Linked DNA regions of Astyanax mexicanus. The protein of the gene in region 1 interacts with the protein of each later gene in a pairwise test. Links are inferred from orthologs where the notes say so. Each region holds a gene or a part of one and is shown in the gene's direction. Other genes may lie near its edges.

What was found. The genes of interacting proteins can lie anywhere in the genome.
Region 2: the proteins of exoc1 (region 1) and trim9 interact in a two-hybrid assay, tested with the Homo sapiens proteins (2 studies listed by BioGRID and IntAct). The link is inferred for Astyanax mexicanus from reciprocal best matches to the Homo sapiens genes EXOC1 and TRIM9.

What each region holds. Positions count from the first base shown.
Region 1 is NC_064408.1:63,949,624-63,960,894, reverse strand, and holds the start of exoc1 (exocyst complex component 1), read left to right. Parts: upstream 1-6,485; 5' UTR 6,486-6,672; intron 6,673-8,355; 5' UTR 8,356-8,363; coding exon 8,364-8,487; intron 8,488-8,640; coding exon 8,641-8,771; intron 8,772-9,345; coding exon 9,346-9,505; intron 9,506-9,949; coding exon 9,950-9,967; intron 9,968-10,667; coding exon 10,668-10,855; intron 10,856-11,118; coding exon 11,119-11,271.
Region 2 is NC_064414.1:38,990,965-39,001,926, forward strand, and holds the start of trim9 (E3 ubiquitin-protein ligase TRIM9), read left to right. Parts: upstream 1-6,287; 5' UTR 6,288-6,415; coding exon 6,416-7,312; intron 7,313-10,962. UniProt on the Homo sapiens protein: E3 ubiquitin-protein ligase which ubiquitinates itself in cooperation with an E2 enzyme UBE2D2/UBC4 and serves as a targeting signal for proteasomal degradation.

The sequences.
Region 1 (11,271 bases):
ATATATTAAGACACACTTGGGCAACAAAACACACCTGACAGTTACGTGTTTCAATACTTTTGCTCACAAGAAAAATGGTTGAAGAGGTAGAGTTGGTATACAGAGAATAGCCCTATTTGAGGAATCCACATTATGGCAAGAACAACTAAACTACTAAAAAAAGAAAAAATATATACTTTAAGTAATGAAGGTCAGTCAAGGACTTTGAAAGTATCCCCAAGTGCAGTCACAGAGACCATCAAAAATGTTATGATGAAACTGGCTCAGGAAAAGGAAAACTTGCCCCAGGAAAGGAAGACCAAGAGTTACGTCTGTTGCACACGAAAATTTCTTTAGAGTAACCAGCCTTAGAAAGTTAACAGCTCCACAGATAAGAGCACCTAAATACTTCACAGAGTACTTCGGTTTGTTTTAACACATTAAGTTACTACATGACTCCTTATGTGTTGTTTCATAGTCAGGATGACTTTAGTATTCATTTACAATGTAAGAAAAAAAAATGTAAAGTATTTGACTGGTACTATACTATACTTTATTATATTTGTGCAACACTTTAATATTATTAAATTTATAGCAGGTTTTCAGTTGTAAGGTATGGTTTCTTTTCAAAAGTACCACAGAATCTTAGAGGTCTGAGATTAAGAGTTTTAAAGGACCAACGTAGGACACTTCAGTGTTTTTGTTTGTATGCGTGTGACAATACTTGTTCTATAGAAATCAGTTTAAATGTAGAAATCTGAATTTTAATAAAGCACCTTCATCTTAGTAAAATGAGCCAGCAGCATTTTCCTCCAGACATCCATTTCCTTTTTCCGTTTTAAGATCCCTGCAGCTGTCTGTCTGTTTGCCTGTCTACCTAATAAGCTAGGTTGCTAGCATAAGCTAGCATCTCCGGCCCATGACCGACCTTCTATTTTAAAATGTGGTGGAAAAAATACCAATTGCAGTTTTAATGTAAAAAAAATGTTGAAACAACGGGTTATTTTAAATGGTCGAGAAAATGTTAACAAAATACTTTTTAACTTGGAAACCATGTAATGTTTTAGTCATACAAATATGACAATTATTAGAAAAAAGTGTTTAATTTAAATTGATGGTTCTACTAAACCCTTGAAAAACCATCTTCTTCAAGATTGTACAATGTAGAATAAAGGAAAATAATTTATTATTTGTTAAATGTTAAAAAATAAGATGTTAAAACAAAGTTGCAATGTCAATGTTGATTTACCTTTCAAAACAAACACATAATTCAACACTGATTTAACTTTGTTATATTACTGATTAAACTGTGTAAAAGCATTGAAAATAAATGAGCCAGGTGAGCAACACTGATGTAAATTAACTGCAGTAGTGGATGGTCACTCTATAGTTAAGGGTTTTTTCAGGTCACTTAAAGGTTAGAGTTCACCTCTAATTTCACACTGAAATAGCACAGCTATAAAGGACTGTGAATACGCCTGAATAGAACAGCCGGAAGGAAAAATTGGCTCTTTAGTGCATTATCCAGGTCTGTCTCACAGGCACAATGACCAAACTGGCTGTTGAATATATCAGAATACAGCATATTCAAAACATTCAGTCACCTAAATGATTCCTAGGTAAGTAAGTTAATGAGCTTCAGCAGACAAAATATACACCCTTCTGAGGTGAACAAGAGAAATGCTTTCATAACCTTTACCACAGAAAAGCTAATGACAAAATATCAGCCTAATCCTAGACTTAATTACACAAATGATCTCAACAAAAGGTTACATAGGCCTCACCAAGACTAATATCCACATAATAACAGCAAAACATATAAACTACAATCACAATATGAATAGTCCACTGACAAAACCACCAATTACGCTATTCTGAGTATGTTAGAAATAGGCCAGCTTGTAAAAGGACAAGGATGGTGATGGTAAAGGGCTGTTCATGTATCTAAGATGTAATTGTGTACCTTTAAATCTGAATTACACATTTACATTTCTTACAGATCTCTTCCACGGTTTTAATCATTTGATGTTACATACAAGCACCATTCCCCCTACACAGGTTCACAAAGTGACTGCAGACAGCTCCTCTTAGTGGATGAAAAGTTTACTGCAGGCATTGATTACTGTCACACACTTTAAATAATTCATAAATGGCAATTTTCATTACTGAATAAAAGTTCTCTTCTATGAGCATTTTTTAAACCTTTTTTTTTTTTAATAATTATGACTTGCATTTGGCATTCAATATATTTTTACATTCACATTTTTTCAAAAGTCTCAAAAATGTATGCTGACAATATATGCTAAATACGTAAATACAGGTGAGTTTTCACTTCAAAAATCTGCACTGACATTTTTCCAAACCATCAAAGTTCAGGCTTAGAAGTTGGAGCGTTTTATGATTTTGACCATCCAAGTACTGCCAAACACATTAAATAATGTAACGGTTCTGAGAGCATGCCAACAGCTTCAGCAGTTTTATTTCGAGAAGGTTTTATTTTCTCAGTAAGAGCAAGAACAAGTCCAAGTCCGTTATCAGGAAAGGCAAGGCCATTACTAGAACTAGTTGATTGTGGCGAATGTTAAGACCCCCCACAATATTTTCTTGTTTTATTCTTGATTAAACCAAGGCAAAATGAGGCAAATTCTTTACAGACACTACTCAAAATATTTAAAAATGCATCTTTTTCTATACTGAAGTCACTAAAGACTGAAGTGCAAGAGTTATTAGCAAAGGACTGTATCACAGACTAGCTATTTGAGTACTTATAGATCATGAAATAAATAAAAATAACATTAATAAATGATTACAGTTGTAATTAGAGAGTCAACCATATTTCATCTTATAACCTATGTCATCAACACATTATGTGTTGACTGTTGGCTGTTAAGGAGACATTGATCCCACTGGAGGACCACTGGAAACTCAGGTGCACTGCAGAAATTACTACTGTAGCCATATTTCTTTAAGTAAACTATAAATAAGATACTTATAATTAAAAGTAAAGTTTTTATTCCAGAGCAGTTCTCTGAATCTCATCTTGTACCTCTGTTTGAGGCTTTTCAGTTTTTTGCATTCCAACTTCTAACGTACTAACAACTTCTAACAGCTACACAACCTTTCTCTCAAAAAAGACTGGGCTACATTTAATAAAAGATATTGTGTTGTACAACAAATAGTCTAGAAAGGTCCCAGTCAAACAGCTATTGCCGACTCCTCCAGATACTGTACAGGATTTGACCAACTCTCTTGTCTTGCCTGTGTCTCACTGGTGGAACACTGGAGATACCCCTATAAAAAGAAAAAAAAATTATCATAGCACTGATGTTTCACTGTAATGACCTGCTAACAATAATCACCCCTTGAGAAGAGAAACTGAGGGGACCCAGAATATAAATGGTTGGTAAAAACATAAAAACACATTATAAAAAAAATAAATAAATAATAATAATAATAAAAAAAAAATACAACATGCTGTGTGAGTCACAGTCAGCTGTGTGTAGGTGAGAAGTGTTGCTAAAGTGAAATGTCACCATCACACTCTTTAGTGTTTGTCTTTTATCAGGCTGCCACGTCTACCCGTCATCTCCTCAGGCCACACTGGACTGTCATGACCCTGAGTCATCACAGAAACACGGCTGTATGTTTTGATATTTCACTTTTCCATGGTTTGTCTTCTGATCAGACTACACAAGTTAAAAAACAAGTTTGCTTTAAAAATGACTTACAGCTGCATGTTTCGCAAATATAAAGTTTACAGGTGTGTAATTCTGTTGTGTTAACTGAGCATGCTCAGGCATTATAGAGTCCATATACAGTACATCAACCTCCACAGAAAGAATCTTCATCTGCATCGTTTGCATTATCTACATCTAGTGTGAACAAAGACAACTATGAAAAACATGATTCTACAACTACATGACTGGAAGTAAAACATTTAGTATCTTTAGTTTTTAACAATGTAGCTGTCTGGTACTGAAACTTACCACTCTTGAACAGAAACTCTGCAGTGGATGGTGTGCATACCCCACGTCTAGTCCTATCACTGACCTCGATAGGGTCAACCGTTATACCCATATGTGGGGCCAACATGGAACCCATGGACCAAACTTTCTGTTTTCCTATTGGGTTACCCACACAGGCCCCATTTGGGCATGATATCTGAGCGGCTACCAGAAACAGAAAAGGAGAAAGTAGGTCTAAATTAATTGTATTTTACATCTGACAGACAGTGATACCAAGTTTAAATTTTTTAGATAGCGACATATTTACAAACATTACAAGTAAAAAACAGAAGCAAATGTGTATGTCTCAAATTAACTATTTCTGATGATGTGACATGATATGTTTGCACTTTTTACCACCACTTTACACCACCGGTTTAACAAAATATATATTAAGTTACTGCCTAAATAATTATTAAAAGAAACCACAGTTCCAACCCTGCAATGTGATTGGCTGCGAGGCGTTCTGTGAGTGCCATTATCAGCCGGTTGGTACAAGCCAAACAGCGCAGCTACAAACAGAGCAACAATGGAACTATTTTAACTTGCTTTTATAACCAAATAGATTGCATTTTCTTATCCTCTTTAACTACATTTTTTTTTAAATAAACAGCCATAAAAGAGCTGTGGTATAATCGCAATAATACACTCGAGGTTTGTGATATAGCGTGTAATATTGGCACTGCTTTAGGCATTAGGCCACAGGCCGCACTGCCTCTCGTGTATTATTGCTTAAATGACCACAAGTGTGTAAAATGGCTACCACAGTTCAATTTTACAGTACTGGTAAGAGCTGCTATGTGCCCCACCCCCTCCTACACAAACAAGTGCAAAATAAGCTCATGATGAATTTTACAATGCAAGCATAGTTGTTGATTAGCTAATGTATGTATTCACAATGTTTAATTGTGATGGTGAGTTAATATAAGCCATTAGCTAGTTAGTTAACCTGCAAAATCTGAAAATATAACACATGGGACATTCCAGGATTTCAGAGATGGTCACTTCTGAAAATTTGATCTTCAATTTGATCATTTTAGTCATATATTTATTAAACACAGGTAATAGACTATCAAAAAGTTTGATTTGTCAAGCTCAGGTATCAAAGCAGTTTTTTAAATTAAGTTGTGGTTTACCTCAGGAACAGATGCTAACTGTAAAATTTAGCTGTGTATACAAGATCAAGGACAAACATGGTTATATAATTATATAAAGAAAAAATTGACTATACTCATTATTAGTCTTACAACATGAGTAACAGGGTTGCGTTCACTGAGTGACACACACAACTTGGACATTTGGAAAATTGTTAGAGCACTTACTCTTGGTCTTGCCATGTGGGCAGAAAATGTCCTTGTGATGTAACTTCCTTTGTGGTAGTAGACAAATATTTTTAACTCTTTCTCTGCCAGGTAAAATTCCTTATGGTAACAGGGTTGCGCGCATGTTGTGGGACACATATCAACAAGAGGAAGTAATTTATTTAGAGCTTATTTTAATTGTTAAATTTGCCAAAGGAGTTGGTCACCCAATGTGTGGGACAAGAGAAAACAGCCATTTTTTGAGGTGGTCCAAACTCTTTTGAATAATATATAAGGAGCTTATTTTTCCACCATATTTTACAGTTTGTCTTATAACAAGTACATTTTTCACAAAAAATAGTCATTTAGATATTTTGGATATGTACATTTGAAATTTAAGTGGTCGGACAGGAAATGTACCAAAATCCTGGAATGTCCCACAAATTGGTCCTTTAATATCGACTCACACAGCAGTGGCTATATGTGAGAGCATAGACATTTATACATAAATATGTATAAATATGTAGAAATGTACAGTACAGGCCAAAAGTTGGGACACACCTTTTTTTTTCAATGCGTTTTCTTTATTTTCATGACTGTTTACATTGAAGATTCTCACTGAAGGAATCAAAACTATGAATGAACACGTGGAGTTTTATGTACTTAACAAAAAATGGTAAAATAACATATATATATATATATATATTCTAGTTTCCTTAAAATAGCCACCCTTTGCTCTGATTACTGCTTTGCACACTCTTGGCATTCTCTCAATGAGCTTCAAGAGGTAGTCACCTGAAATGGTTTTCCAACAGTCTTTAAGGAGTTCCCAGAGGTGTTTAGCACTTGTTGCCCCTTTGTCTTCACACTGCGGTCCAGCTCACCCCAAACCATCTGGACTGGGTTCAGGTCCGGTGACTGTGGATTCCAGCTCATTTTCTGTTAAGTACATAAAACTCTACACGTGTTTATCATAGTTTTGATGCCTTCAGTGAGAATCTACAGTGTAAATAGTCATGAAAAAATAAAGAAATCGCTTTGAGTGAGAAGGTGTGTCCAAACTTTTGCCCTGTACTGTATATATGTAAATATATGTAAATGTATATGATGTAAATGTATATAATGTCTATGTGAGTGTTATTAGTGGCTCCGGGCCGGTAGGCCGCGCTGCAGTCAGAGAGCCGGGGAGCGGAGTCAGAGCTCCAGCTGAAGGAGCTCCGCAGCGGAAACAGGGCTGTTGTTGTGATGGTGGAGCAGGTTGGGCTGTGGCCGTGAAATAGACAGTAATGTTAGCGCTGTTTTTATAGGTTAATGTGGACGGGGTTTGTTGTGTGAAGGATAAACCGCTGTTGTTCGCTGTGCTGGAGGCTGTGCGGCCCTGTATTGAGGTGAGGTCTTATTATTATTAGCGGGTAAACACGGCCTGTCCGGGGGAAGTCCTGCAGCTCAGTGTTAGCTGGGTTAGCTTCATTTAAACAAACAGAGTCAACAACTCAGGGTCATTCGGACAGTCAGGAAATCGTGTGGCGTTAAGAAATGACTTTAAACTGGGCAGTGCAGACAGAGAATTTGTACATCTTGTTAGCTCTCAAGATGTCAGATAGTTAACTCAGCTATCTGTTAGCATTGTAGCTAATCTAGTTTAGCTAGCTAAGGTAGCTACGCTAGGTTGGCTGGCTGGCTATCAGTCTAATGTGACACATGTCAAAACTAAGATATCCACCTGCCATCTCCACCACACATCCCTGTGTGCTGCCAAGCAGGGATCCACTTTTAAAGTATCTGTAGTTATCCGCTATTCAGTAGGCTCTTGGTTTTCTGTTTTACAAAGAAAACATTAGTTATTCAAATGATTCATACAAACATAGAGGATTGGTGTTGTTAGGGTATTGGTTTATAATGTTACGGCTGACCAGTGCATTTAATGTTAAAGTGTGCTTTCTGTTTACAAATGAACAAATGAAAAAATAAACTGAATGTGTCTAAAAACTAAATATCTTAATGATGAATCGTGCATATATTTAAAGAATATTGAGATTTTTTCCTATAATAATAGCACAAGGACAACAATAATAAGCATTATTATTATTTTTTAGATTTTTTTTTTATTATTTTAAAAGTTGCAATATGAATAATTATTTTAAACGTTTTAATAATAGACATTTTAAAAGTTACTGGTTCTGGCTTGTCACAATAATTGCAATATTGATTTATCGTATAATAAATTAACACAACCTCAATAATTTTTGATAATCGTGATATCGTCTATTGTGTTTTTTTGTATGTTTGTCCACACATATAACAGTGAATAGTATTTTAGCGAGTCATGCTTTAACAACTGTGACGCCATAACATACACACAGTGTGAACTAAAGTAGGTGAAGAAATAAGTATATCATTCCCAGACTAATTAAAATAAATTGTTTTTTTTTTTCCTTTAAAAAGTGTATAATTACTTTTTTATGCTATTCTGTTTTCATTATGTCAGTGGCATTTAATAGTCCTAAAATTACATAAATATCATATATCGCAATAATTTCTGGGACAATAAATCGTAAGGTAATTTCATGATTGTAATATAGACAATATATATGTCAATATATATATATATATATATATATATATATATATATATATATATATATATATATATATATATATATATATATACTTTTACTATATCACCCAGCTCTCACTGTGAAATTACATACACCAGGGGTGGTGGCTTTTTTTACTGTTCATATCAATATCAGAATTGTATGATATCGACCGAAATTAAAAAAATATATTGAAATATAGATTTGTCATATTTTCAAACATTAGTATAGCGTGTGTTTTCTGTGCAATACCACCTAAAAGAAGGTATTTTAACATTTTACAATAGAATCATGTAAAATTGGTGAACAGCTATTTAAATTTAAGAAGTGACACCAGAGTTTAGAGTCTTCGACATATAATAATCTTATAGTTTTGTTCGTCTACTTTAGGAAGTGCTTTAGAATCTCTTTTCTTCCAAACCAGCCTTATACTCATGCCTTTTTGAGTTTGTAATCAGAATGTACCTTTTCTAGGAGGCAAAATGACTGCCATAAAGCATGCTCTCCAGAGGGACATCTTTACTCCCAACGATGAGCGCCTGCTTAGCATCGTCAACGTCTGTAAGGCCGGGAAGAAGAAGAAGAATTGTTTCCTGTGTGCCACAGGTAAAGAATGATGCGTAGTGAGACACCAGTTTAAAACGCGTCTGATATTAGATTATTATGTAATGTTGTAGAATTCAGAGACTGCTAATATTTATTCATGGCAGTTTGTAACTGGGAATGTCACTGCAAATTTACTAATTTTTTCTGTTCCAGTGACAACGGAGCGCCCAGTGCAGGTCAGGGTGGTAAAAGTAAAGAAGTCAGACAAAGGAGACTTTTACAAGAGACAGATGGCCTGGGAGCTTCGTGACCTGGCTGAGGTTGATGCCAAAGATGCTAACAAGGTGAGATTTTATATTTAAAACAAGCTCACATTCTGTAATATTAACATAACACAAAATAGTATCACATAATAGTAATAATAAGAGGACGAATTGGATAAATAACATCTTAAATTAAGTAAAAAAAAAAAAATGATTGCATTTTCACATCGTCATAAAAATGATCTTGCCTGCAAGAATCGTGTTTTTAACATTGACATAATTTTTATATAAAAAAAATGTAATCTGGCTGTTGTTCTTTGTTGCATCCATTTGTATATACAATAAGAAATAAATAATTTGAGAATCATTCTTATTGTTTGGGTATTGACTAATCTGTTTTACTGTTGTTTCTTACTAGTATTCAAGTTTGTTAATAAAATTTGTATTGAAAATGCCAATTCAGACACGAAAGAACAAATAGTTTAATTTAAGATAGACTGTCTGTGATGGAACAACTACAAATGTGCAAGTGTGTTTCACGTGTTCGTTTTGATCCAAGGATTATTGAGAATTTCCACGTTGCACCCTCAGAAGATTCAGAGATTCTGTTTCCAGCCATTCTCTCTGTCTTATCGTCTACTTTGACTTCCTGCAGGAGAATCCAGAGTTTGACCTACACTTTGAGAAAGTGTATCGCTGGGTGGCCAGCAGCACAGCAGAGAAGAACTCCTTTATTTCCTGCATCTGGAAGCTGAATCAGCGCTACCTGAGAAAGAAAGTGGAGTTTGTAAATGTCAGCTCCCAGCTGCTGGAAGGTAGAACCTACTATTGTTTCTAATTGAGCGCTGAGGTTTAATGGTGGAGATGTGTTATAACTAGCATGATGCATGTACTGTAGTAACAACATGTTATTAAAGATTTTGCATTGTTACTAATAGATGCAGGAAGTAAGTGTAATTGTCACTCTTAGAGATTAGAGACAATTTGGTATTAATATAAAATGTAGTTTAGACTAAAAATCTCTCTTTTTTTTTTCTTTTGCTCTCTTTGAACTCTCTCACACAGTTGCTCTCCTCTCTTTCTCCCTTTTGCTTACTCATCCCCCTTTTCTCTCTCTCTCTCTCTCTCTCTCTCTCTCTCTCTCTTTCTCTCTCTCCCTCTCTCCCTCCCTCTCTCTGTCTGTCTGTCTTTAAGTGAGTGGAATTATACTCTTATAACCTATGTTCTGTACTCTTCTCTTAAAATCTCTCACTGGTCAGAACTTCCTAAAGCTGAAGGTTGGTACTGTACCCGATTTCTATAACTTTCTTCATTTCCATCCATGTTTTATTTTTTTTTCTGTTTTCCATCATTCAGTTTCAGCCCTGCCTGTAACAGTTTTTGTTTTGTCTTGAGTTTACTCTCATACTTTTCATACATCACTTTTTGTGTGCAATACAAACCATGTTTTATATTTTATACAAACACTGCTATTATGCAAAAAATTGGGAATTGTGTATTTATGTGAAAAGAGATTTGAGTTCATACATTTATAGTTCTCTATTAATTAGGAATCACACAGCCCTGACAGATCCTATATGTATTCTGAATAGCATTCATACGCATATGTATGTGTTTGTATGTTTCAGGAAATTATGTTCTTTGATTTATTAATTTTGACTTAGTGAGATGCATGTTTTTAAAGTAAGGTGTGTGAAAGGTGGGACACTGAAACAGACAAAGGAGTCATGTATAGAATTACAGTAGCTTCTTCCCAAGCTTATCAGTACAGTTATAAGGTTACACAGGTTTGGTAATCAGGCCTGACTTTATGAAAGAGTTGCAATTCGGTGGTAGCAGAGTTTTGCTGTTCTTCTTTTCCCTGTGGATTTTGGATGGCAGGTTCTTACCAGTACACAGCCCATAATCAGAGGTGCCATAGACATTCTGCACAACCTCTAGGAATCACATTTTACACATTTTGCATTTCCTCCACAGAGTCGGTTCCCAGTGGCGAGAGCCAGAGTGTTGCCGGGGGTGATGAGGATGCTCTGGATGACTACCAGGAGCTGAATGCACGGGAGGAGCAGGACATTGAGAACATGATGGAAGTGTGTGAATGTGCCATCTCCAACGCCGAAGCCTTCGCTGAGAAACTCTCTCGGGAGCTGCAGGTCCTGGATGGGGTGAGTGCTGTCTGGATCTGGACTGCAGACATAAAGGATTGCATAAGATAATCAGTAATGCTTCATTGCTTGAGATGCAACAAACACAAATTCCTATTTTGAACAGTTATTCGGATCATTTGGTAGTGCATTTATTTTACATTGTATAATAAATGATTTATTTATATGTAATTATACAAATGTTATACACATATTATTATGTGTCAGCTAAAAGTCATCTTCCATCCTTTCCTTTTAACCTTTTCTTGTTCTCTATCCTCTAGGCAAACATCCAGTCAATAATGGCGTCAGAAAAGCAGGTGAACATTCTGATGCAGCTGCTGGATGAGGCTCTCACTGAGGTTGACACCATTGAGGGCAAGCTGCTGAGTTATGAGGAGATGCTGCAAAGCGTCAAGGAGCAGATGGACCAAATC
Region 2 (10,962 bases), on another chromosome or scaffold:
CACTGACGAATGCCTCTTTTGTCTTGGTAGATATGAGCAATGAATTTGTAGATATGAGCAATGAATTGAGGCACTGTGGTCAGCACCAAGATACTATAAATGGTTTGATCATTTTAGTCTTCATTACAGGAACTTTGACAGCCCAACGTTACATTAATAACATCCTGCTACCAGCAGCTCTCATTAAGTTCATCATGGACCAGGATCTTACAGGAATGTTTCCAATCTTCAGGAATCTGTGCCATGAAAAACTAAAGCTGTTTGAAGATCAAACAAAGGCTCAATTTTGTATTACTGTAGTCATTCTAATAGTCCTAAACATGCTTTGTGAGTGTACAACACATTGTGGAGGCGTTGGAACTCAGCTTTCTCCAGCTTGTTGCCATGACCACATGCGCTTTGAAAAAGAGCTCATTGAGCAGCATTTTATTAATTAGGAGAAATGTGTGCATTGGCTAATTTCCCAGTAAAGTATGCGCAGTAGGTGCGCTGAAGAGAGCGTCTGTCCATGGCCAGCTTGTGTTTGATCACTCTGCCACATCCATAGGTCAAATGAGATGCAGCAGGTGCAAGGAAGTTGTGGTGGGAGGAGCTTACTGAACTTCTAGTCACATGCTGGAACCGACCCACTTTTCCACCATCAGAATAAAAATCATTAAGCGATTAATTACCCAGTAATCCCTCCACAGACGCAGAGGCACCAGAGAGAAGCACGCGCACCACACTCACATGGCTCTCACCAAGCCCTCACACACTATAACACACACACACACACACACACACATACAGGCACCATCTCTCCACCAACAACACGCACCGTCCACCCACATACACTCACTAAATCGTTTCAACTTACTCATGTCCCAATCACACACATACAAACTCACGTTCCTCACAGACATTTCAATACGCCCCCACACCTGCCTTTTACAGATCTGAATTCACTGATGAAACGCACACACACACACACACACATACACACTCTAGAAGCTTCCTCAGTGAGCTCTGCATGTTTCAAGCTGTTGCTGATGCGAGCCAGAACTCTCTTTCTCCTCTCTAGTCCATAAAGATGTCTGCACTCACATAATTACAGCATTCAGAGGCCAGCGCTCTTACAATTTCTCTGCTGGCAGTTACACTGTCTGTACCACACACACACAAACACACACACTGTCCTCAGAATCACTCCCTATTACAGGAATAGTGCTCTATATAATGTATGTGTCCTTATGTCCTTGATATATTCCAAATATATTCTAAAGTCTGTAAACACTCTGTATAATATATTCACTGGCCAAAAGTCTGTCAATCAGTGTGTCAATTAATCATGAAGTGCTGCCGTAGAGGACAGCTCGAGAAAAGCCCACACCTGGGTAAATAGTGAGGTGTTTTCTTGTATGTGAGCTTGAACACTGGCCAGCAAGCTCATAGCAAAGCAACGTGAATTATCAGTGTTTAAAAAGACCTGACCCGCGCAAACAAACAAGCAACTCTGGCAAAAATCACATCCACATTTAATCCAAGAGACCCACATGACCTACAGGTCAATGCAGCATGACCCACTTTGACCTAGTTTACACGGGATATGACAAATGTCCTGGGACACAATACTAGCTCATGTCCCATGATGAAGTCAGCCACCGCCTGCTGCTAATGTACCATTGCGGAGTAACCAGTGCGCTCGGAGGAAAGTGCAGCGCCTCGGCTCCGAAACATCAGCTCACAGACGCCTTGTGCTGATCGACATCACCCTTTGGAGTGATGAGGGGAAACAGTGCCATCTACCCACCCAGAAAGAGCAAGGCCAATTGTGCTCTCTCAGGGCTCCAGCAGCTGATGGCAAGCTGCATGACCGGGATTTGAACCAGCGATCTTCCAATCATGTCCCATGATATTTGGCATGTCTGGTACCTTTGACAAGTTGTACTGTTTCTATTTATCATAAATTTAGCGTTTACACATTTAAAAGTGTAGAAGCTGTATGTAAATTATGCCTAAAAATCAATGTAAAAAACTAATATATATATATCACTGACATGCCAGAAGTCATGGGATAGCACTATGTAAATTAATCATGAAGTGATCATATAAACTAAGCTTTGATGGTCAAGGTAGTTGAAAAGTAAAAAAGTAAACAGTAAAAAACATGCCCATTTTTCTGTTTGCATGGATAATTCTAGCAAGGCGCCACTGGTCACGATCATTACCAGCCACTGTGCTGTCCCCTGTGGGTGCTAATTATATGATGTACATATTTCTGCTACACATGTGACACTATATGTGTTAAAAAAAAATGTGGCACTTTGCCAACAGCACACAGACATGAGCGTTTCCAAGCCATCCCCCGAGGTAACACTTCATGATCAATTTACATCTGGCTATTCCATGACTTCTGGCATGTCAGTGTATATACTGTATATGTCACAGAATTTGCAAGTTACCTGTGTGTTTGTATGTGTGTGTGTTGTGGCTACCTAATCACACTGCCTCCTACCAAACTCCACCACCCGATGGGTGGACCCTTAAAATGCCAGCATGTCGTTCTGTTTGAGTGAAGGCTATTTCTCTCTTTGCTGCTCTCTCGTTCTGCACTCAGCCAGGTTACCCTGGAAACACGGCTGAAGGCAGGAACAATGGGACAAAGTAAAGCTGCACTCATCAGGATCCAGCGCTCCAGAGAAGAGAAAACACTCTAACTCAGCACTGTTGACATTTCTGGCCCACAGACAACAAACTGAACTCTCATACAGTATCTCACCATTACAGCATTAACACCTACAGATAGTGTGCAGCACTCGTCCTCAGCGCTTACGCCTCACACCTCACATACACATTACGCACACTTAAGCCTGCTATTAACTCACAGTACTCTCCGTAACCCATAATACTGCATGTGCATAGTGCTCTTCAGTAGGAATTTGTCAGACAAAAGTGCCCTGCTTAATAAAGGGGCTACTACAGTATGCTGCTGTACTCTCAGCTCCTTTATTCACCTTTAAAAAAAACTCCTGCCTTAAAGCACATTCTTTTATTTCTTCTCATTCCCTTCATATTCACGTCATACACTGCATTCATAATACCAAAACTAACCACAAAGTTACACTGAAGAGTTCATTTGCAAAAACACATAAAGGTCTATTTAAAGAAGAGCACTTATCTGTTTTTGCAAATTAACTCTTCAGATGTTCCTTGTTTCTTGTCAGCATTCCAGTGCATACACTGGCCTTATATTTAGGTAAATCATTTTATGTCATTTATATATGACAGTTTATGTATGCATTTTTTTTCTTTGCGAATTTGGCTCAGGAAGTGTATTTAATGCACTCAATATTCTGACCGTAATTGGGTTTCTCCAGTTATGTAAGTTATTGTTTATTTTTCATTTGCACAACATGTCAGGACATTCCTGCACTAGAATGTTTATGCTAATTATTATATACATGTAAACAGCACACTTTGATTTTTTTTTTTTAGAATGCATTAAGGCCTAGGCCACTACCTGCTAGTGAGCTACCACATCATGTGGGAGACTGGGGTTCAATTCCCAGTCTGGGTGACTATGCCGCGCTACACCAATAAGAGTCCTTGGGCAAGACTCCTAACACTACATTAGTCCACATCTGTGATAGGAATAATCCTTATTTGGACAATAGAGACACACTCTAACCTTGGATAGGTTACTTTTTATTAAATTATTTGATAAAAAAAAGTTTGTTTACTGGAACTGTACTTAATTCAACTTCACAATTTTGTGTTATATCAATTGCTATGGTCAAGCAAATAAAACAGATGGAAAAAAGCTAGTTGCAAGTCTAATTCAAACTAATTGTAATTGTACAATGAAAAGTTAGGGTAAAGTTATTTAAGATTTAGAATTTTATAGGTGAGTGTACATCAGCATCATCATGAAGATCAACATGTCCAGTTCCACTGTGGATTTATATGTTTGGAATTAAAAGTGTACATAGAGCTTTTTGACATTGTAGGCCTGTAACAAATCAGTACGGTGGCCGAGAAAGCCCAGCGCAGTGCAAATTGAAAAGCGCTGCAAAAGCACAAAACACATTCATCAAAATTACAACACAGGCGCAGCAAATAGAAAAACGCGCTGCAAAAAGAAAAACGCGCTGCAAATAGAAAAACGCGCTGCAAATAGAACCACAACACAACGGAAGTGAGTCACAACACAACAGAATTTTCCCGGGGGACCTTAAAAGATGCTGTACCAGCTGTATACAAAGGACAATAAGTGGCAAACAAGCTTCTGAAAAGTAAGTTATGTTTATTACCTGTGATTACCACGGTTGTGTGCATATTATTAAAAGTTCTGCTTCACAAAACGCCTTGTTTGCCACTTATTGTCCTTTGTACACATAGTGAAGTCCGAGACGTTACTGAAGACGCAGCTTAGCTGGTACAGTATCTTTTAAGGTCCCCCGGGAAAATTCCGTTGTGTTGTGACTCACTTCCGTTGTGTTGTGGTTCTATTTGCAGCGCGTTTTTCTAGTTGCAGCGCGTTTTTCTATTTGCTGCGCCTGTGTTGTAATTTTGATGGATGTGTTTTGTGCTTTTGCAGCGCTTTTCAATTTGCACTGCGTTGGGCTTTCTCGGCCACCGTAAATCAGAGAGTAGAAAACAACTGCCAAACTAATTAGCCACCAGAAACTTCCAGGAACTGAGAAGACCTGCAGAAAAGGGCCCTGCGGATGTGTCACACTAGATGTAAATGCCATTTTAAAATTATAATTGAATCCATGCACCTCACCCAACCATCTGTTATGCAAATTCCTTAATAAGCAATGTCACCAGTAAAGCTTCATGGAGTAGCTGAAATTTAACCTGGGTGCCCTTCACATTTTGCCTCCTCAAGACTCAGCAGAATAAAACTGAGGAACTCTGTAGAGTCAGTAACAGCAGACACACATATTAAACACTCCAAATAAACTGCCAGTCACATTATCTCACTTGTCTTCTTGCAGCTGCAAACCAATTTCTTTCTCCAGTATAAAACACACTTTTCCAGAGTTAGGGGGCATAATGATCCATGCTAATTTTAAAATACTGTTCACAAGCTTTCCTTGTACTTCTAATCTGTGTGTCTTTAGTGTGCTTATCCCTAATGTTTTATATTCACATCAGTACACATCTCCAGCATTCTGGAGATCCTGCTTTTGTGGAGTAAACATTTCTACTGTCCAGGGACGACTTTCCACCAGATATTGCATTAATGAGATCAGGATGCTGAATTGTCACCACTCTCATTCTCATCCTCATCTTCCCAACTCACCTCAGTACTGAAATGAGTGTCATTATTCCAGAGAACACTGTTCCACTGATCAATACTAGTGAGATTTATACATCTTCACTCCATGCCTGACATTAAACAATAGGTTCCTGTTTATCTGCTCCAGAGAGAGCTATTTTATTACCAATACATCTCTATGGAAACTATAGAAATGCTTTGTGTGTGCATTTCATTGTAATCTCAAGTATCTCAAGATTCGTCGATTTTAGTTTTCTATATAATTTTTTTGAACACACAAACTGATGAATGGACCAATAGATTTGATGAATGGACCAATAGAAATAATCCAAAATTACCTTAAATAATCTCTTTGACTTCCATAAAAAGTTAAGAAGGTTTTATCTCTCTCCTGTAAAGTTGCTGTTTTGGAGATACATGTGTTTCATTGGACAGTTACGGTTCCCACATATGTCAGCAATAGATGCACAAATTTCCTTTACTTTTTGTGCTATGTTTATAGTTGAAAGTACCATATATTGATGTCCTGCTGTGCATGTACTCACTGTTTTTTATAGCTTTTAAATACTTACTATTGTTTTGTATTACTGTTCTGTATTGTGTAATTACTGGCTACTGGCTGCTAAATTACCATCTGAATCAATAAAGTATCTATGTATGAATCTATCTATGTATCTGTCCTACTGAAGAAGTGTTAGATAGATAGGAAAGATTTGGGACACAGCATCGGGAGTGCAGGGGCTGCAGAATACCTCCTCACCTAATTCGCTTTATGGTCACGTCTTGAGTCGTCGTGTCTTTTTTTAAGTGCTGTGTGATGTCTCGGTAGGAGTTTAGTTTTTTTGTCTGGACGCCGGCCACAGCTTGCTGCTTGCTGTTTGGCTAAGCCGTTGAATATGGCAGCTGCCTTGACCAATATCTGCTTACTGTGGGCTTTAGTTAGTGATGTAAAGCGCATCCTCCGCGGTCGGTGATTGGTCGAGGCTGTGGTCCCGCCCCTGCAGTATAAATCTCCCCTCCTCCGGGTCTGTGCGCTCATTCCGAGGAGAGGGGGCTGCGCGCGGACGGAGGGGAGATTTACAGCCGGGGTCTGTAGCGCTTGTTTTGTTTTTCTTTACATTCCCGGTTTTTTCCCACCGTTTTGGAGCCACTATGGAGGAGATGGAGGAAGAGCTGAAGTGTCCGGTGTGCGGCTCGTTTTTCCGCGAGCCCATCATCCTGCCCTGCTCGCACAATATCTGCTTGGCGTGCGCGCGGAACATCCTGGTGCAGACGCCGGACGCAGACTCGCCACAGAGCGCGCGCGCCTCCGGCTCCGCCGCGTCCGACTACGACTACCTGGACCTGGACAAGATGAGCCTGTACAGCGAGGCGGACAGCGGCTACGGCTCTTACGGTGGCTTCGCGAGCGCGCCCACCACGCCGTGCCCCAAGTCCCCGAACGGGGTGCGCGTCTTTCCGCCGGCCCCACCGCCCCCCCAGCAGTCCCAGCAGCAGCACCTGCTGCCCCCGCCGACCGCGTCCGGCGCGCCCCCTCCACCTCCCCACCCTCACCCTCATCCCACCGCCATGATGATGATGATGATCCCCCGAAACGCCTGCCTCACCTGCCCGCAGTGCCACCGCAGCCTGACGCTGGACGACCGCGGCCTGCGCGGCTTCCCCAAGAACCGCGTGCTGGAGGCGGTGGTGGAGCGCTACCAGCAGAGCAAGGCGGCGGCGCTGCGCTGCCAGCTGTGCGAGAAGACCCCGCGCGAGGCCACCGTGCTGTGCGAGCAGTGCGACGTCTTCTACTGCGACGCGTGCCGAGTGCGCTGCCACCCGCCCCGCGGCCCGCTCGCCAAGCACCGGCTCGTGCCACCCGCGCAGGGGCGCATCAGCCGCCGCGCGAGCCCGCGCAAGACCTCCACATGCACGGAGCACGAGCTGGAGAACCTCAGCATGTACTGTGTGCAGTGCAAGATGCCCGTGTGCTACCAGTGCCTGGAGGAGGGGAGGCACTCCGCGCACGAGGTCAAAGCGCTCGGGGCGATGTGGAAACTGCACAAGGTGAGGAGGGGAAGGAAAAGCTGTGTGCACTTGTGCGTGTGCGCAGAATAATGAGGAACACCTCCAATTAGGTCTACTATAAGCATATCTACAGGTTGTAATCTGTATGTTATCCTGGAAAATGTATTTTGTTCCAAAGATAACCAATGTTCGACCTTTTATGGGTAGCCAGACAGTTTTATTCATGAGTTCCATGTTGGAACCATATGTGGATATGAGTGATGGGACCAGAAACAGGGGTTCCATTTGTGTTGTACACTTCGTATGATGTCTAGTAGGATGTTAATAAAATTAATGTTCTAATGTAAATTTCAAAATGGGATAATCAAGATTGCATAATTTACATATAAGATAATATATTAGACTTTGTTGTCCCCAATGGGGACATTATCCTTGAAAAAAAAAATACACACAACACTCTATACAACATCACATATTTACATATCAGAAATATTGCATAAACCCTTGACCTTGCTACTATTTGCATATTTTACACATTCCCTCTGACCCAACACAGACTGTGCTACACAACCCTAGACCTTACTTATATTGCACATTTTATCAAACAAAACCATGAGCGGTATTGCACATTACCTATGCTTTTTACTTAAGAGCTTTATAGAAACTGGCACAAATGAATTCCTATATCTATTGAGCTGGCATCTTGGCATCCTGTACCTTCTGCCTGAGGGGAGGAGTTGGTATTCATGGTGAAGCACATGAGATGGATCAGCCACTATTTTCTAAACTGTCAGTGTGAATCTCAGTAGATAGATGTGCTTCTGTCAGAAATCTATAAAAACTCTTTTATTTGGCAGTGGTTTTCTTTACATGTTTAATTAACTGAAATTAACATGTAATAAACCATGTTTATTACAAAAGCTGCAGGCAGGTTTAAAGGGGGCTGTTTACAGATCACTTTTTTTCAAATAAAAAATAGAAGTTGTTATGTAACAACTAAAATCGTTGTTGGGAATAACTTGATGAATATCAAGATTTTTACAATATGGCCCAGCCTCACCTTCAAGATTTAAGTTGGTTGTTATGGTCCTTATTTGCAAAGCTCTACTGGGTAACAGCACATTCAGTGCTCATGCCCACTCGGAGCCTACCTAGACCACACTGCACCCATGCGAGTCCAACATTAGCGTGTTCCAGTATAGTCAGTCTGTGTCATTAGATAGTAAGAGTTAGAGTTAAGAGTGATTCACCAGCTTCAAATATGTAGCTAATAGTTGGTTTGCAGTCAGGAACTGTCTCAGGGGTCAATTAGAAAATCTGTCACCCTGCAGGTAGGTTAAGGATTGGTGATATCTTCTGATCAAGATAATAAAGATCTTCAGTAGCATCTGAATATTGGAGCCAAGCAGATAGATTTAAACACTCCATGCTGATAGATGTCCACTCCTGGGATAGAAGGAGGTCACTAACATTAATTTATCACAGCAGTAGATCTTTGGTTCTAACTTTTTCTAACTTGTACTCACTCCAGCTATGCCGAGCTGCAATGTTGCAATAAATTGAAAAATCCATGCCAAATCTGGTAGCCATATTGCTTCTGGCTGAGGAAACTTTTCGAATGCATTCTGTAAAGAACCATCTATGACTCAGCAGTGCACTAAAGCCATGTGGGAATGATTGGATTGAATTTAAATTAAATAGAAGTGTTGTTAGGAGTGTAACAGTGCAGACTGGAGGTGTCCTCAGATTGAAGAGAACCTCACTAAAGGCAAAATATTCTTGATTTTCTCCTTTTGGTTTTATCCTAGTGGTTTCCGGTTTTGGTCTTGGAGTATACCCTATCTGAAAGTTCATATTCAAAAAGTTTTAAAAGAGAATCAATATTTGGTGGATTAACCCTGGTTTTTAATCACAGTTTTCATGCATCTTGGCATGTTCCCCTCCAGCAGTCATGCACACTGCTTTCGTAAAACTTCATGCAACTCCTGGTGCAAAAATTCAATCAGTTCAGCTTGGTTTGATGGCTTGTGATCATCCATCTTCCTTTTGATTGTATTCCAGAGGTTTTTAAATTGGTAAAATCAAAGAAACTCATATATACCCTCATATGTACCCTATCTGCAAGTTTGGTCTGTAAGGCTATGTTCAGACTGTAGGCAAATCAAATCAGAAATGCTGAGATGACTGTCTGCACTATTTATGTGTAATTGATGAGATCAGATATGCCTGTCTGGATATAACATATCTGCATGGGTTGCTGTTGTAATGATGTTGGCATCAGTAAATAATCTTTGGCATTCTTCTTGGACCCGCACACTTACGTTACTCTGGATTTGATAAGGCTGTTGTTTATTGTGTTGTGAATGACCCGAAAAATAAATGTTAAAATGCAATCTGAGCATATAGAGCATCCACACCGAGTTACATCTGTACAAGTCTGATTGTAATTGCACAAACCCAAAAGTAATTGCGCAATCTAGATTTGCAGATTTGTAAGTAGATTTGGGCTGGCAGTCTGAACATAGCCTAACACCAACTTCTACTAACCAGCTAATCTCCAATAAATATGCCACTGTTAATACATTTGTTGTGCAGAAGCATTGTAAAAGTAGTGAAAACACAAAAATCTGCAGAGCAGGGGTACTTAAGCAAGAGCACTGAGAAGCACTAGCCATGTTTATCAGAGACTGGGCTATAGAAGGTAATTTGTCCCTGTCAGGTTCTGAAATAGGGGTTTCACTCACTGAGCAGAATTCCTCTACCCCATCAAGAACCCTGTCAAGACAACAGCTATGAGTCTGTGATTGTTGGTCAGTAATGTACTGCAGTGGGACTGCATTCAGAGTGTTGACCGTTTAATAAGTTGTGACAGGAATATGCCAGTGAAGAGCCAAGACGGCGGGAATGTTCATGTTAAAATTCAGAGCACGAGCGAAACGGAGCTCGCCGTGATTCAGACCCAATAAAACAGAGCGGATAGGGGGGAGAAAGCTGTTATCTGGGTGAACAAAACATCTCTGATCATTGCACTGTAGATGCTGTGATTGATGTAGAAGACTTAATTCAGAGAGCACACTTCAGAGTGTGAAGGAAGTGTTGCTTGGGCCCAATCCCATGTTACCCCGTGCCCTTATCACTTAGCCCCAATGTCCCGATTCTTGTTGGGATAGAGGGGGAGGTGTTATGGCTCCATTTAAATGGAGATTTTTTAGACGTGCATTCCAAAAAGAGGGTTATGAGAAATCACCAACAAGATGGCTGCTCAAGCGACCATAGAATGTAAAATGTTGATAAAAATTGCATTATTTTAGTTTAAAGTAGTTACAATGTAGTATGAAACTTTTCTTCATAAGAAGCAAAAACAGACACTAGGGAAGCTATCAAGTAGCTGACCTTAGCTTGTTATCACCAAGGAATTATGGGTAGAGGTAATGCTCTAAATAAAGTCCAGCATTAGTAAGGTTGCTGAAATTTACAGCTCCTTTGCTATGACAACAGACTAGCAGGTTCACCTACAGAGCATTGCTAGTAGCCTGCTAATGAAGCATTTTTCTTTATATTTATTTTTGATGATGTATCAAATTCTTGAGGAGTTGTCCCTTTTCTTGAGGGAATTCAACTACTTTTCCTTGTAACTTAGTTAAATGTAATGTTGGCACTGGAAAACAAAAAGAAGGGGTACAAATGAG